Caenorhabditis elegans: one gene and its partner. The protein of the gene in region 1 purifies or fractionates together with the protein of each later gene. This does not show direct contact. Each region holds a gene or a part of one and is shown in the gene's direction. Other genes may lie near its edges. The genes, in order: idhg-1 and ttr-48.

Region 1 (5,642 bases):
ATTGACAACCTTTTCATTCATAATTGAAGCTGAAAAAACATTGAAAGTAACTCAATTGTCTAAAAATGTACAGCTTACGATATTCTGAATTCCCTTTCAGATTTCTGATAAGCCAAGGTCGGAAACCAGGAATCGGAGATAATGTTGAATGAGTTGTGACTGATGGAACATCTTTTTGAAGTTTAGTGGCGACTTTCTTGATGAGCATATTTCCGAGATCAATACCAGAAAGACCTGAAAACGAATAAAACATGTAATGAATACATTTCTTAAATTTTACCAGGCTGTGTAGAAGTGATTGAATAATAAATTGCAGTTGTTTGATCTTCTTCTTTTCCAGTCGGTGCTCCTCTTTTTGTGATTTCTTGTACACTATCCGCTATCTCATCAACTAATGCCACGTGAACCATCACAAGTGGGTTCCGGGGAAGAGCTTCGTGGGAAAAATAGAAACATCTGAGAAAATGAAATTTTAGTTTTTTATTTTTATTTCATAATTACCGTCTCAACGGACCAAGACGTTTTCTGAAATCTGAAAGTCCTCTAACTGGATGAACTGCCTCATATTCGGCGACTTTCTGTAGAATATCTCCAGGAGATGACCACGTAAGTCGTTCCAATTTTAGATTTCCTAAAGAAAACCATGAAGTTAATACTTCTCTAGTGGCCAGTTCAATGTGACGGAGATATGATGTTGTAGTTTTGTCAGTTTCCCGTTTTAGAAGTGCCTGAAAATAATTATATATTCGATGCTAATTTTATTTTAATTTTAATACCAAAATATTAGCCCTCATTTCACAGACTTGCATAACTCCTCCCGGTAAATTTCCAATTGATTTTATCAAATTCACATAAGAAGCTGTTGCTGATGTTCTTACTTCCGGGTACATTTGATCATTCTGAACTTTACAATTTTTGGTCATACGATGTCAATGATAATAACCAACCTTAGAATATAGAGAAATCGCATGATTTAGGGCTTCTTTGTTTACACCATAGTTTGTGACGAGATCTACGAAAATCGATTTTCGAGTTTCTGGCGTGGAATTGGCATATAATTTGGAAAACTTCTCGCTATAAGTCTGAAAAATAAAATTTTTTCAAATAATTGGAAAATATAGTTCAACTTACGAGTAACTTATCTCCACTTGTTCGATTTGTGAGTCCGTCTAAAGTAGATAATAATGTGGAAGAATATCGAATCGAGTAAAAATGTGAATATCGACGAAGCATTATTTACATCAACCTACAAAATAATTATCTATGGGGGAAAATAACAGTTTCATAGCGCGAAACATTCTCGAAACAGTCCGGGAGCATGTAAATCAGCAAAACGAACAAATAAAAAGATAATCAAGTAACAGTTAACGTTTTAAATAGTAGTTAATAAAATAATAAAGACTTTGTAACTTCAGCCAAAACTATTTCTTGGATACCGATTTCTGTATAAGAAATAGACGCTATTTTTGGAAAAAGGCGTGCCAGGTTCTACATGAAACAACTATTTCAAAGAGTTTTCAATGAAACAAACTTTAAAGAACAATCCTAAGACATTTATTTCTACACAAAAATCACTAATAGATCACCTGATAAGCGCTTGAGACAACCAACAAAACAAAACAACGAAGCAACAACAATTCGGCGGCGAAAATCAATCAAGCGCCAACTGCTGTTCGAATTCCCGGATTTCCCCGGCAGTTGGCTTGAATTGCAATCTAGACTAGAAGTAAACACAAACCAATGAACCCTCAAATAGAGAGAAAAAGCAAAAATATTTGAAATAGATAGAAATGAACGAAAATGGACAAAATAAACATAAAAGACGAAAATGAAAATGTCGCGCGGCGGAATTGCGAGAAACACGTGCGGCGCTTGCAAATCAATCGGTCGGCTCGTTCCGCCCTCTTTTTTTGTGCATATAATTTCTGAAAATTATCTGTTTAGTGATAAATCTGAGTTTTCATAATGATAATGATGATATCGGGAAGATTTAATGTTTTTTGTTAAAGTTTTGAAATATACTATACCCTTCTATTTAAAAAATTGGCTACTATTCTGACATGCACTTTTAAAAGTACATTTTTAAACTGTTGTTTTTCTAGTAAATTCCATTTTTTTAACATTTCAGGTAAAAACAAGATGTCGAGCAACGTCCTCGGTCATACACTTCGCTCTTCGAAGAATGTCGTGCAAAAGGCGTTCGTCGCGACTTCACCGAACTCCGATATGCTCCGATTCCGTTCTCCAGTTCTTCAAACTAACACAGTAAGTAATTCATTTTTATCTGCTATTAATATCAATTTTCAGACTAAGCTGGCTCGTTATGGAGGACGTCACAACGTCACAGTCTTGCCAGGAGATGGAATTGGACCAGAAATGCTCCATCATGTCGAGAGAATCCTTTCAGCAGTTCAAGCTCCAGTAGATTTCGAAGTGGTTAATTTGACCTCAAAGGAAGATGCATCTGAAGATCTTGCTGAGGCTATCACTGCTATCAAGAGAAATGGTGTTGCTTTGAAGGTATTTTTGTTGAAAGATTAAAATCAAATTTAATTTTTTTTTTTTGAAGGGAAACATTGAAACTAAGTTTGATAACCCAAGCTTCGTTTCCCGAAACTTGGAACTTCGTCGTCAACTCAATCTTTACGCAAACGTTCTTCACTGTTCCACTATTCCAACTGTTCCAAGCAGACACACTGTAAGAATTTTTTTAAATCGATTTGTACAAATTTCAAATGAAAAGCTTTAGGGAATCGATATGGTTATCATCCGTGAGAATACTGAAGGCGAGTACTCTGGAAATGAGCACGAAGCCGTTAATGCTCCACATCCTCGTGTTGTCGAATCTTTGAAGGTTGGGATTATCAACTGAGATTTAGTCCTAATTTCAAATTTAAAGGTTGTTACTCGCGAAAAATCGGAACAAATTACTCGTTTTGCATTCCAATTCGCAAAGAAATATGGAAGAAAGAAGGTTACTGCTGTTCACAAGGCCAACATTCAAAAGTTGGGAGACGGTCTTTTCCTTAAAGTAGCCACTGATATCGCCAAGGCCGAGTATCCAGATATTGAATTCAATGCTATGATTGTCGATAATGCTTCCATGCAGTTGGTGGGTTGTTTATTTATTCATCAAAATAAATGTTCTGAAAAAAGACGAATAATTAAAAATCCTTATTTATTTCCAGGTTTCACGCCCACAACAATTCGATGTTATGTTAATGCCAAATCTCTATGGAAACATCATTTCAAACATTGCTTGTGGACTCGTCGGAGGTCCAGGACTTGTTTCTGGAATGAACATTGGAGAAGATTACGCCGTCTTTGAAACAGTTAGCATATTGATGAAAATATTAAATAACATTTGTTTTTTTCAGGGAACCCGTAACACCGGAACCACTCTTGCTGGAAAAGATCTTGCCAATCCAACTGCGTTCATCCGTGCCGCCGTTGATATGCTTCGTTTCCTCGGACTTCAATCACACGCCGATATGATCTCCGATTCATTGTTCCGTACGCTTGTTGATAAGAGAATTCACACCGCTGATATTGGAGGAACTTCTAAGGTAAGAATTTCATTAATTTTCTAAAGTTGTATATATTAAATTCTTACCTTTTCTTTATTTAAAAGTAGAGTAGAGTCGTTTTGGAATTTTGCTCAAGATGATATCCATAAATGGACCGTAATTTAAAAATTTATACAATTTTTCTAATATTTTGCAAAATTAAAAAATAAGATAAGTGTTTCTGAATTTCCGCGCGAATAAGTAGAATAGTTTTTTTGCGTTTTTCGGCTGTACTGAGTGATTACTCTTAATTTTGTTTTTTTAGTATTTGGTATAAAACACACATACATTTTCCGCAAAGAAATTTATGAATTATCGAGTTTTAGGCTAATTTTTGAAATGTTTTCGAATTTATTTCGGTTTATGAAGTTTTCTTTGCGGAAAAAATATTTGAAAAATTGCCGGAAAAGGCAAAAATGTCGGAACTCACATTTTTTATTCTTGCAAAATTGGAAAAATCATAGAAAAAATGTTATAAATTTTTTTACAGTTATTATGGTCCATTTTCGATGATTTTAAGCAAAACTTCAAAACGACTTCACTTTTTAGAACATTAACTTTATAAGTACTTTTTAAAAATGCACTACAAAACTTTAATTTAATAAATTTTCAGTCATCGGAACTCGTTCAATCAGTACTCGACTTCATCGAGAAGGAGCTCGAGGACCGCAACTACCGTGTCTAATTTCTACCTGATAATCGAAAGTTTGAAACATCCCACATAGTGGCTAGCTTTACCCTTACGTTCTTTTCCTCTGTTTTTTTTTCGATTAATCCATGATTCGTAGCATAATGCGTTACTCATTGTGCTCTTTCTCTGTTTGACCCCGTTGACTGAACGTTTCCGCCTGATGTCTCTTATCTTGTTCCTTTCTTCCTCATCTCTGTACCCACAATTTTCTTTGGATTTTAATTTTTTCTGATTGTTTGAATTTTTCTCATTTCCAGTATAGTACAATATTATAAAATTGGTTTAGTGAAATTCGATACTCTGTTAATAATGTTAATATTAGGTTACTGTCACAAAGTTAAGTACTCCCCCCACCAATATGCTCTTAACCTAATTAGTCAATACTTGAGAGCTGCTTGAAAAAAGGCGGAGTTTACTACTGTAGCTACTGTATCTTTTTGAATGCTCCCTAGCTCACTTTAATATTATTCATTTTTTGCCACAACTATTCTATTCTTTATTTCACCAGACTATCTAGGAAATATTGAACTAATACAAATTTTAGTTCAATATACCGGATGGTCTGGTGAAAGCAACATGCGTTGTAAGTTCTTTTTCAAAATCAAATGTCGATCGAACATTTCAATTCGAAATAATTTATTTCGGGTCAGAAAAATTGTACTAAAACTTGCAGAAAAAAAGTTGAAAAAAGAATTAATAAATTACAGAAAATATGCATATGAAACTGGGAGATTGAGTCTATCACAACTACATGCGTGGGTGGATACCAAAATATGAAAATTACAAGGAAAGCATATTCCATATTATACATATCATAAGTACATTGGCGGGAAAATACCAAAAGAAAATAAATAATTGAGAAAATAAGTGATTCTAAATTTGACACAACGACAACTTTGGGGGGAGGGTGAATTGCAAATCACTAAAAAGAACAAATTGTGTAATATATAAAAAGAAATATGAAAAATTCCAGTTTACAAGTCGGTTGGATCATCATGATCTTCCGGTTGGAAGGATGTATTCACAAATGATGCATTTTTGCCAGTCAGTGACGATTTTTTATCTTCTGAAACAGTAAATTTTAATTTTAAATAAAACATTAGTTTTTCTATACGGAAGGGTCGTCGTAAATTATTCTGTTTAAAAAAACCAAAAATTTCAGTTTCTTTTTGAAACAAACTTTAAAATTTTGGTCAGTTTTATTTTTTTAGCGATCGGAAATTTTTTAAAAGAAAAGATCGAAACTTTATTACTTTATTTACAAACAAATATATTGAATTTCATTAGAAAAATATGAAAATTTCTTTTAAAAATTTGATTTTTTGAAACCTAGCCTCATATTTTGGCTATTTTCATATTATCGGATATTCCAGTTTTTCCGAAAT
Region 2 (4,385 bases), on another chromosome or scaffold:
AATCTCAAATTCAATCTCTTCTGTTACTGCTAGCAGTCTTCTTAGCAGAGAGCAGCATGTAAAACGAAGGAGAAAGAGGACGAATTTGGATATGAATCAGCGAAATGCTCTGGACACTTTTTTTGCGCTGAACCCACGTCCCGACCATGATAAGATGACAGATATTGCAAACTCTCTAGAGCTCGACCGGGATGTTGTAAGGGTATGGTTCTGTAATCGTCGTCAAAAGATGAGAAGAGTCGATGAGCCAATTGAGGGAGAAATGGTAACACCGTCTGTTAGTCCTGTCTTCCCGCATTTTTCATCTGTAAGTCAATTGAATTTTACTATTTTACTCATTATGTATTTCAGATGAGTGCGCTGGAGCAAATTCAAGAAGCCGCTAGGTTAGCTTCTTGTCAAGCCAGCAATGATGACAGTGAGTTGAAAATTTCATCAAGCTCACATATAAAATTAATTGTCTACAGGTGACGGAACATCCGGAAGCCCAGATGCACCATCCAATGACGGCTGCTCGGATCTATAAACTCCAGTTCACTTGTTCACTCTCAAGTTCACTCTCTGTCCACATTTTCCTTATTCATTACCTCAACATTTTGCGTCATTACGGTAATCAAGAGCGTTCAAAGCAGTTCAAGCAGTTTTTTTTTCAAATCTCTGCATTCTTTCTTCAAAATTCAAGCATAACATTTTCGATTGCACACATAATTTCTCATTTTCCCCCCATTCCGGTTGACTGTTCTATTGCCCGGTTTCTCGTCTGATAGCAGTATGTTGCATTTACAACTCTTTTATTCGCTTTTCAAATACCATATGCTCAGGTTTTTTGTCCCGCTGTTTCTTTTTTCTTTCTGATTCGCACGTTTGATTTCTCGGATCCCGTAGAACTTTCTAGCCTAATAAAATTATTTTTTTTTGATGTGCTCCACACAATTGAGCAGCTTCTCAGATGCGGTTAGTAACTCGATTTTCATGGTCTTTTCTGCCATTCACCCTCACCTAATTTCACAGCTTCTCTCGTTTTGACTAGTCATCAAAACGAATACACACCATTCTTTTTGTACGCTGAAAGTTCATGTTTTTCTCAGAGTGTTTTTGCCTTTTTGTGTATCTATGATAATTGTACGTTCCGGTGAGATTTCTAGGTTGTTCATCTCATTCTTTCCCGATAATTGCTTGAAACCCACCGACACACTCCGTTTGAATATTCACCTCCCCATTCTTCCTGGTGCATAGTTACGATATATTCAATTGGAACTGCTGGTTTCGATTTTTAAAACCCGGAGCTTTTCTTCTGATAGGGTCAATTTTTGTATGTAACTTTTCGAGAACAGTTTTATTTTTTCGCATAATTTTTTGATAAATATTGAACACTTTCAACATTTTCCAGAAAAATTTAATTTCAGATACAGGTATTTTTTGTGAATTTTCATCAAAATTTAAGTGGAGTCACCACAAGTTAGGTGTGGTATGGTTTTGTAAAAATTTGTTTTAAAAATAATTAAAAGTGTTGTATGTTGTATAAATGTTGTTTTTTTTTTGGAAGTCGCCTATCAAAAAATTGTTTGAATAGGTTGGCTATGACATTTGGTCATTTTTGCATCATAGCTGGCACCATGGTTTTTTAAAAATGTCGCAGCGTCTAGAAACTAATTTTTGTCGTCCAATTTTGGTTACAACATTTTGGGTATAACTCTGCGACATTGACAAGTCGGTCAAATTTCAAATTATTCTAATTTTAGGCTATTTTTTGAGCTGTAATAACTATTTTTAATAGTTTTCAAGAAGTTTCATTATGAAATTCGGTGTTTTCAGACAATTTTAAATATAATAAACAAATAAAAGAAATTCGACTACACCACCTTTAAAACTCCAAATCACGTCAATAGATGTATTTGTTCTTATTTGTGTTGAACCATATGTTGAATAATCATCAACTGATCATATAATCAATATAAATTGTTTATTTTTCTTTTGAATGAAGAGCCAAAGTGTCCTTATTGTCAATAGCTTCGCGATAAGAGTGATAAGCTAGAATAGTGTTGACCAGTGTTTGGTCTATCAAAACGGTTTAGAAACTTGATAATGAAACTGTACACTGCGACCGTTTCATTTTGATTCTTCCCAAGTGTTTTGGGAAGCGTCGAACATTTTGATCAATATCAATTGGTGTCTACGTGCATCTCTATTGAGAGGTCAGGTGTTCACTGAGCATTTTGTTTTCCGGTATCTTCTTCAATATCCTTTCTATTGATTCATGAATCGCTGAGAAATACGTTTAATTATCACATTTCAGCATGATTTTCATATTTATCGCCGCTCTTCTTTTACCAATTTCATACGTTTCTGCTGGAGCGGATCTTGATGTCCCAACTAACATTGCCAACAGGTAAATTTAATTTTCAATTTTGTAAAAATCAATTTATATTTTTAGAACCATGGCAGTCAAAGGACAACTGTATTGTGGAAAGAAGCCTTTCGAAGGAGCCAAGATCCGACTTTTCAGAACATTTCAACCAAATGCAGCAGATGGTAAGTAAGGTATCAAGTTTTGAGCAAGACCATAATCATGTCAGATCTCGCCGAGCTACTCGACGTAAAGAACACATACATTACGGGAATGTTCCAAGTTGAAGGAGGTACCGCGAGGTTTGTTATTTTTTGCTGAGAAAAGGTTATTTAAAAAGTCAAAAGTTTTCTATTCATGTCTTGCTTATCAATAGTGCCAATAGTGCGTGCATTCGAAATGAAGTGAAGTATGTCAGAATTATCTTGTGCTGAAAACATTATGAGAAGGAAGTTTTACACATTGTTGTAGTGGCATAAATTGGAGAACAGTTTGAAAATACAAGTTCTGAAAGGTGGAGCACGGTCAATGAAAAATAATGGAAACGCATTCATATGACCAAAAACTGACCGAATATCTAAATGAAGTTTTTCAAAAGTTTTGGAATATTTTTTCTAAATAAGCGTAAACTGAGGTTTTACAACTTTTTGACTCGAAATAAATAATTTTCCGAAGTTATTAAAAAACATTTTTTAGCTCCAGAACAATAATGTTTAATCGTTTTCACACTCGCTATTTTTCACCATTACATCGACTGGTTTTAGTATCTTATATAGAAAAAGCAATTCAGACGAACAATTCTAACAATTACAAACTTTTATTTCACTGAATGAATATATTCTTACTCATTTTTTGGGGTCCTTAGAATCTTATCAAAAGTTAAGAGGTTTTTGGGTTTAGAAAAACATTCGGGAAGCTCCTCGATACTTCAAATCTCTACACAAAATATAGAAATTGTGATTCTCATCAAAATTGGAGAGATTTAAGGAAACCAAAGATTTTCAGCAATTTTCGGGACCTCGAAAATAGTGCTAAGTTCAACTGCAACATTTCAGAAATAGCTGATAGCAATTGCCTTGTTTTAAAACCTGGAATTAAGATTAAAATTTTGTTTTTATAAGTTTAACTTTCAGATTCCCACGTACCAAAACCGATATCCAGCCATATGTCACAATTCATCACAACTGCGGAATGGACAATAAGCAAACATCCAATGTAAGTCAAAGACCAGCACTTACGAAACAAAAATCAATTATTTTTATAGTACGGCTACAAACGAATTGGTGTCCGTCTTCCAGAAGATTACGTAACACTCGGAATCAAAGCAAGAAAGGTGTATGACTTTGGAATTCTCAATTTGGAGTTGGAGTTTCCACAAGAGACCCATGATTTGAAGTTCAAATTCACCGATTAAATTTAACTTTTCTTTCACAATTTTTTTCTTCATTATATTTCACATCAAATATTTTGAATTTTATTTAGAAGTTGTTCCCCATGAATGCAATCAGTAAAATTTCTCTTCTCATTTCAAAGCGCTCGCACTCATTTTGTTTTTGTTGTTTGGCACTGGCTGTTGTTCTGTTTTGGAAAACGGATACATCACGCATATCAGATCAGAAAATATGGAGGAAAAGGACGTGGTGTTGAGAAAAATAAAACCACCCAGGTGAGAAAGAGAAGAATCTCACGAAACTTTTCTCATTTGATCTTTGTTCACCGGAGGACAAGCCTTGAAACTGTTCATTTTATGAGAGCTGTTATTGCACGAACCGAAAGAGGGCGGTTTTTGAAAACTGACAATATGGACAGTAAAACTTTTCAGTATTGTTGTGTTCTGTGTTCCGCCGTTTTCGACAACAATTTCCAGTAAGTTTCAATGTTTTGCCGAATTTTCTCTGTATGGAATTTTTATGATACATAATGAATTTTCAAAATGGGGTTGAGCCATTTTTTTAGATAAATAACTGAAACTTTCATACTGTCCAAAAAATTATTATTTTTTGTACACTGAAAAATTTATGCAATACAGTTAGTTTGT

Evidence for each region.
Region 2: the proteins of idhg-1 (region 1) and ttr-48 fractionate together in Caenorhabditis elegans (co-fractionation; one large-scale study listed by BioGRID). This does not show direct contact.

The regions. Positions count from the first base shown.
Region 1 is NC_003281.10:4,566,885-4,572,526, forward strand, and holds idhg-1 (Isocitrate dehydrogenase [NAD] subunit, mitochondrial), read left to right. Parts: upstream 1-2,128; 5' UTR 2,129-2,139; coding exon 2,140-2,265; intron 2,266-2,307; coding exon 2,308-2,520; intron 2,521-2,569; coding exon 2,570-2,698; intron 2,699-2,749; coding exon 2,750-2,854; intron 2,855-2,899; coding exon 2,900-3,112; intron 3,113-3,188; coding exon 3,189-3,332; intron 3,333-3,377; coding exon 3,378-3,566; intron 3,567-4,179; coding exon 4,180-4,251; 3' UTR 4,252-4,981; downstream 4,982-5,642. Other genes in the region: mlcd-1 (Malonyl-CoA decarboxylase, mitochondrial), read right to left, coding at 1-29, 79-234, 281-456, 502-728, 777-899, 948-1,082, 1,132-1,233; Serine/threonine-protein kinase sel-5, read right to left, coding at 5,232-5,323.
Region 2 is NC_003284.9:3,840,360-3,844,744, reverse strand, and holds ttr-48 (Transthyretin-like family protein), read left to right. Parts: upstream 1-2,296; 5' UTR 2,297-2,297; coding exon 2,298-2,389; intron 2,390-2,434; coding exon 2,435-2,532; intron 2,533-2,576; coding exon 2,577-2,649; intron 2,650-3,480; coding exon 3,481-3,562; intron 3,563-3,611; coding exon 3,612-3,761; 3' UTR 3,762-3,876; downstream 3,877-4,385. Other genes in the region: Homeobox protein ceh-18, read left to right, coding at 1-307, 352-418, 468-526.